Linked DNA regions of Coturnix japonica. The protein of the gene in region 2 purifies or fractionates together with the protein of the main gene of each other region. This does not show direct contact. Links are inferred from orthologs where the notes say so. Each region holds a gene or a part of one and is shown on either strand. Other genes may lie near its edges. The genes, in order: DHX15 and NUDCD1.

What was found.
Region 1: the proteins of NUDCD1 (region 2) and DHX15 purify together in Homo sapiens (co-immunoprecipitation; 3 studies listed by BioGRID and IntAct, with this or other methods). This does not show direct contact. The link is inferred for Coturnix japonica from reciprocal best matches to the Homo sapiens genes NUDCD1 and DHX15.

Annotation. Positions count from the first base shown.
Region 1 is NC_029519.1:66,730,164-66,733,987, reverse strand, and holds part of DHX15 (pre-mRNA-splicing factor ATP-dependent RNA helicase DHX15), read right to left. Parts: intron 2,544-3,824; coding exon 2,394-2,543; intron 2,245-2,393; coding exon 2,136-2,244; intron 1,060-2,135; coding exon 868-1,059; intron 1-867.
Region 2 is NC_029517.1:119,473,643-119,477,466, forward strand, and holds part of NUDCD1 (nudC domain-containing protein 1), read right to left. Parts: intron 2,131-3,824; coding exon 1,945-2,130; intron 492-1,944; coding exon 308-491; intron 1-307.

The DNA.
Region 1 (3,824 bases), on a different chromosome or scaffold from region 2:
CTTAACCAAAGCAGATTTTGAACTCAGATTTTTTTCTAATTGTCCAAGTCAAGCACATAACCAGCAGTACAACTGCAAAGAGCCTGTTAAATAGCACACCCTGAAGACATCGCAGTAATTATGAATACAGAACATCCTGACTTTCCTAAGAACAAAATCTTGCTGCTTGTCCTAGAGAGACCAACTATAAAATGAAGTCAGTTCTATGTAAACTGAGCAATGAGATGCAAGGCTTGCTTGACAACATCTTACTCTCCAGATCTCTCTTGACAAGCAGCTGTTATGACAGGGCTATTCACTTTATGCAAGGTACAGCTGTGCACACAAATTAACTATTAAAAATATACACCCTCCCCCAAACTCTCTTTCCTTTAGAAGTAATGAATGCTCTTTAGCTTCCCAATAAAATTAATCACTAAAAATCTTATCACGTAGAAGTTTAGCAGTTCAATATAATTTGTGCTCTAATTCTTTTGGAAATACTGGCATGTATCAAAGTGCAAAGAATACACAATAGAGAATAGATTTCACTGCCGTAAAAGCAGAGTGGTTAGCCAGCATTTTTAGTCCTGATTATGAAACTAAAAATAAATTTCCATTCCACTAGATCGAAATTTTCTATGAACTCAAATAAATGTATTTTAACTAAAAGTTAGTCAAAAAGTTTGATCCTATCTATGCATGCTGATTTCTTCACTTTAATGATTATTTGCTGCAGGTCTACAAGCAAACCCATAATGGATTAAATTTCTGACAAATCAGTTTTTAATAAAAATAACTTCAGATTTCTTATGCTTTTCACGCGGAAAGGTCAAACTTCCCCCAAACTCAAGATCTGCACTTTGGTATCCCTTTCCTTAATATTACCTGACAACATGGCAGTAATAGATAGGACCTCATTAGAACAGTTGTAGTCACAACTTGCAATAACCATTTTAGCCAGTTGTGGGTCCAGTGGAAATTCAGCCATCATGGATCCCAACTCGGTCAAGTCTCCATCATCATTTAAAGCAGCCAGATAATTCAAGAGCTCTAAGGCTCTCATCAGAGTTTCAGGAGCTGAAAGAAATATTTAGGTAGTTACATTAATCAAAGTGCAATGAATAAGCAAGAATGAGAGTGCACAGATGACCTTGTTTTTCACTCTCCGTTCAGATGGCTTCCAAACACAAAACTGTTACCAAATCCAATCATAAACACCCAGATATGAATCAACTAGTAGATAAAAATCGCTAAAAACAGCTACTAACTGGTTCAAAGTCTCTGAATATTTGAAGAGTACTACTTTCCAAGATTCAAACAGCAGAGGCATTGTTAAATATTCACTTAGTAATATCAATTGTCTCTGACATCTTTCTTATTCGCAGAAAACAAACTGAGTACAGTCCCAGAATTTCAACCACGTACTTTAGATATCCATGTTCTTCCACAATCTGAACTTTTAAGAACTTCCCTGAAATCTGCATTTCTTAGAGCGAGAGTACAGTACACACACACAAAAAAAAAAAAGAATCCAGACACCTGCTAAGTTAGCATACAAACCACAAAGCACTGCACTGCATTAACAAAGAAGTTCAGTGAAACTGCTTAAATGCTTATATACGTTAAGTTTTTATTTCAAGTAGAAAAACTCAACCAGCTTTGATGTATTTATAGAAAGCCAATCTGTGAGTTTAATTTGCAACGCAACCTTGTTATTTTCAAGGTATTTCTAACATTTAATACTTTTACAAGAAAGATATAGACTAAGCCAAAAAAGCATGTATTCAGCTTTAAAATGCTAGCCAATTTTATTTACATGCAGTTAACTGATGTGCAATTAGAAAGCGTAATCAAGGTGATGAGTAAAAAATTCACTCAGCAATAGATTTTTTTAATGCACATAATTTAGCCATACCCTTGTAGTTAAGAACATTCAGTAGATTTCCACTTTCCACTGGAAGCTCTTAGGCAAACAGCGTTATTAAGAGAGTTGTTTTGTAAGACACAGCACTAAATAAACAAAGATGTTCCTTTTGGATTATGATAAAAAGTGGGAAATAACATTTTACATCATTGTATAAAATATTCAACAAAATTAAAGACTGCGGAAGTTGTCTATGCCTGTAGCAGACAAGAAAATATGGAACAAATACCTGGAGGATCCATAAAATCAAAGTGCACCAAATCGTCTATACCAAGCTTCTTGAGCTGCAACACTACAGATCCCAAGTTAGACCTCAAAATCTCAGGGTACGTGTTATCCTAAGGGAAGGAAAAAGAAAACGTACAGTACTGTGAACTTTGGTCCTTGGAGGAACAAGCATTCAAATTTTGATTTTGCTTGGCAGCACAGCAATTGGCTACTTGGATCAAGTGCTCTTACACATGTACTCCAAAAAGAGTAATCTTACCTGCATTTCAGTTTTGTAAGCCTTCTCTGTGTACAGCCTGAAGCACTTGCCTGGTCTGGTACGACCAGCACGGCCAGCTCGCTGCTGTGCAGAAGCTTTACTAATTGCAGTCACCAAGAGAGACTCCACTCTGATACGAGGATTATATACCTATTTCAAAGTGGAATAGGAGCAGAAAAAGGAGATGAATGAATATCACTCAAGGTAAGACTTATCTCAAAATAAAGACAGCTTTAAATTTATTTTCAAATGCAACTTTGGACGAGAAAAACACAAGCTGTATGAATCTGAAAGGAAAAAACAATTTTGGCTACATAATTCTTTAAATCAGTTGACAAAAAACCTCAATAGAACTGCCTAGAAAACAGCAGTTACTTTTAATTCTTTTATTAACATCATCTCCTGCCAGGCTTCCCATCCTACTTAAATGCGTGTGTATTTTTAGATAAGAATTTCATGGCAGAACTAATGTGTCTAATTTGTTCTACAGAGTGCTAAACACACTCTTGATGCTCAAGTAATTCCACGCAAAAACAAGTTGTCTTGACACAATTATAAGGTTGAATAATTGTGTTGCAGAGGTCAGAGAAATGTAACGTTAAGGCTTGAACGCAACTGTAAAATCACACTGATTATAAAGCAAGACTACTTCAGGGCCACGTGTAGACTTTCACATGCAGTCATACATAAACAGCAGCTCACCCCCAGGGTTCATGAAAAAGATGATAAAGCAAAAACAATCAACTTCAGATGAAAACATCCTCTGGTTCATGGTTTAACACCCTCCTGGTATGAACAGGTATAAACAGCAATCAAAACCTTCAGTTCTTATTACAGACAGCATTCAGCCAGAAGAGCTGCTCACAAAAAGAGTTACGCCTAAGTGATGATTACAACTCCTGTATGGAGCTGCATCACCTGTACTCACATTCTATTGTATCTCAGACCACAGAAGAGAGAAAGTCTGACAACATGCATGAGTGTTAAAGGAAAAGCCTTTAAGAAACCAAGTTATGAAGACAGTTACCAGTAAAAGGACTCAATTAAGTTTAAAAGACTAGAATTTTGTTCTATATTTAGTTCTTGGTTTGACTGCAGGCAATCTACTTCAGTTTTCTGAAGATTTTCAGAGGTGCGAGAGCTCCCAATAAACACTGACAAGAAAAAATACTAGCCTGGGTAATTTCTTCTCTCTTCTCACTTTAGAGCTAGTTTCCCATGCTAACATGATATAAACAGGTAACTTCTAGCACCTATTTCACTTACTTTCAGTAAATCAAGTAACTATGAAATTCACATTCCACACCTAACTTCAAATCCTCTTTTTTCAGTTTTTAAGGCTAAAGTTCTTCTCTACTAAGCTATTTTACACTGTTCTAGCTAAGTATAAGAGAGGCATAAAATTAAGCATCAAGACTTCAGTTAAGTAAG
Region 2 (3,824 bases):
CTAGCTTGTTTTCTAATCGCCTTAACTATACACATGCAGAAATTGACTCCTTCCTGTCCTCCAAATGTTTGTCATACTGCAGGTCTACAAGTGAGAACTTGAATTTAAAGTGTGATGAGGGTTTTGTTGGGATGCAAACATCAGAAATTGAGGAACAATCAACATCCAAAACAATTAATGAAAGCATAATAGCTGTTTTTCTTTTGCAGTTTTTGTTTTTTTTTGTTTGTTTGTTTTGTTTTTTTTGTTTGTTTGGTTTTAGTTTTTTTCCCCTTACCTACTAATAACATAAATATAAAACACTTACCCGCTTTGTTCATCTCTACAAATGTAACCCATTCCAAAGTAATATGAAATCCACTTCCTTTTGTGTCCAATTCATCTTTTTCTACCCTGAGCAGTAGCACAGCTATTGAATGTTTATCAGATTTTACAAATGAAACACTGTGTACTATAACGAATGGACTGCCTAGTTCTTCACTAAACACAGTCTGGAAGGCAAAATGGTAGAAAAAGGTTAGTCAGTTAAAACTCAAAAATTAGTGAAAGCTTCAGAGAACATTAAATCAATTAATTAAATATGCTCGCCACAAATCACATTAACTTTTGGTTAGCCCTGAAGTGGTCACACAGTTGGTGTGTGACCTGAAGTTCTCTTCTAGCAGAACTATTCTATGTATTTCTAGCAGTTCCTTCCTTAGCTATCAAGAAAGTGTCCTTTTTATTACTGTTTATATGATAGAATCATTAAAATGGTCCACTAGATCAAGCACAAAACTCTACAAAAATATCTGCACTACAGAACAGGGTAACTGGCTTCCTTTTGACTGAACTTTCAAATTGTACAGGGGAAGGAGTTATTCCACCATGTAGAAATCCTCCACTTCCAGGTATATGTTTGACTTCCTGCCAATATTAAAAGCTCCTTGGCTGTGTATAAAACTATCCTCTAATTAAAAAGTTGCATGAAAAATGTGGTACTTTAATATCAAATTCATCCTTCAGAAATAAAGAGAAACAACAGACCAAAACTTATAGCAGCTGAAGCAGAAATGTACCATAACTACATTTGTTTTGTAGAACTAATAGCATTATTGCTATGGAAACACCACTGCTCCGTGGATATCAGAAACGCTCCTTCTCAAGATGGTTTAAAGTAAGTGATTTTGTAACCTATTTAATGAGAAACGTGCTTCAGTTACAACCACAAAGTTAAATAAAAAATACTAAGCACCAATAATTCTCCAGAGCTAAGTGTACAGCATGAAAAATTTCTCTCCCAGAGAGGTGGAAATATTACAATTTAGATTATACCTACTCTGCATAAAGCCCTCGGGGCTACTTATAAAAGGTTTTTAATCATCAGTTTTCTTTAATTTTTATTTTATTCACCATGGACACACTTTTAAGACAGGTCAAATTAAAATGATGAACATTTCAAATGCAATTACATCAGCACAAGTGATCTAGAAACCCTCTAACAAAATGAAAAGTAGCATTTAGCTTGACAATAATTTCAGGCATTTTAAAACGTACTTATTATTCCATGGGTCAGAAGAAATAATGTGATAGTGGAAGGAAAACTTAGGCTGACCCATAAGAATAGAGAAGGGAAAGGGAAAATGGTTCTTATTATAAGTTCAGCTTGACAGGTGTGCAGTCACCTATTTAGAAACACTCGCTCTCTTCAGACAGATTCTTTTCCCGTAAAAAGGCTGTTTGCTGTTTCCATTCAACCATTTGAATTTTACAGATTTTTTTCTTTCACTTCAAGAAATAATTCACATGATCTTTATGTTTGGACACAGCCCAATATCAACCACAGAGTTAAGATTGAAAGCTTCGTTTTTCATAACATTATATGCATGCAATTCTCCTATTAAGTGCAGGAGTAAGAATTATTTGGTAAATATACAATTCTTAATGTGCTATTTTAAGACTTACCTCCCATTTTTCCGATGCACTGTTTCCACGCTTGCCTGACTTAATTAAATATAGTCTTCCTGTTCCATCAGAAATGGTAACCCATGTGGAAGATGAGAAGTACATTGAGGCACAAAGGCGATCATCATAAGCTGTCAAATCTGTAGGTAGCCTGAAAACTTCTCTTGGTTTTTGGAGAGCAGTGTCCTGTAAGCAGAGTCACTTTATGAAGTACTAATCAATTTCAGCATTGCAGAAAAATGAACAACAAACTTCAACAGCAATTCACCAGTCAGCTCATGTAATTGAGCCTATTAGGAAAAATGTAGGTAGCCAAGCATCACTTCCACATATGAGGAAGAGGTGGTAGAATTTCAGTATTCAGTCTGTTTACTGAAAACTTAAGTGTTTTATAATTGGTATTTCAACACCATTTTTTTCCCTTCAAATTCACAGCACTAATTTACATTTTGCATTTAAAAGTTTTTTACTTCTTTTTTCCTAACATTCCCATAGAATTTATCACTCACCTCACAGTTTTAATCCCACTAAGAACCTGGAGACCTTAAATGAAATAAAAGCCATAGAAATGTACAAAAAAAAGTTAATTTACACTGACTTCTAAACTAAAACAAACTTTAACCCTCTTTCTTACTCAACTTGTGCACACATATACAACACAGAAAGACCACATTCGTGCATACAAGCATGACATAGACTTGAGACTATCGTATTAGAGACGATTTCAAATCTATCGTATTTTCCAAATGGTATTAAAATCAGATATGCATCTAGAACATGTTCAAAGTAAGGCAAGCTAAACTGGATTTGGGTAAGTACCATTTTAATAAGCATCACTGAAAAAGACCAGATGACAAACAGATAGCCTGACTGTCTTCTGGATCTACTTGAATTTGTATTAGAGATTACTTTTCTCTACGACTCTGAAATCTGCAATAGAAAAGATGCAAATTAGATTTATAATTTCTAGTAGCATTCAGGATCACTCTGTAGATTCAGTTGCATCACTACAACCCTTCAGTTATTCACCTAATTTAGAACACATTCAGAAAGATTGAATGAAAGAATTATAAACAAAGGAAGAAAAAAAACCACACTCTACACCCAAGCATTTCCGACATCCTCATTTTCTGCTTGAATTTCTTAAGGTTTTACTGAAAGGCAGTATTTTCTGATATTTCTTACCATTCCATGGTAAGAAGTGACTGATGCGAATGGGAAAAAAGAACGAAAATTGCGGAAAGAAAAAGCTTCAGCCCCAGAACTACAAATTACAGGCATATTCTATGCAACACCATAGAAGACCACACTTCTGACAGCCTTCAAGTGAATCATAACAGTAAGCTTCAAATAGTTATTGATGTAATTGTGTTTTAAAGAACTATCAACTGTCGATCATTTAATCTTCTAAAGCCCTCATTACACTTATCAACACTGAAGTGGAGTGACAGGAGTCAACAATTCTGAAAACTTTAATTAAAAAAGTCTTCACATCACAAAGCCTCCCAGCTCAAAGGAAAGAAAGAAAATGCTCTTCTAATCTTCCTTTTGCTGCTCACTAGTATTAAGTAAGTCTGCAGATAACACAAAAATGGGAGGAACTGTCAACACTTGAAAGTAAAGAGAACTTGTAGAGAGCTGCTGACAAATTAGAAGGCTGGGCAATCATCACCTATATGAAGCTGAACAAGAGGAAGTGCCAAATTCTGTGCCTGGAACAGGGCAAACCTGACTTTGTACAGGCTGGGGAATGAGAAGCAGGAGAGCAGCCCCACAGCAAGGGATATGAGAGTTCTGGTTGATTGAAGCTGAATACAAGTCAGCAGTGTGCCCTGGCAGCCAAAAGGACCAACCATGCCCTGGGGTACATCAGGCCCAGC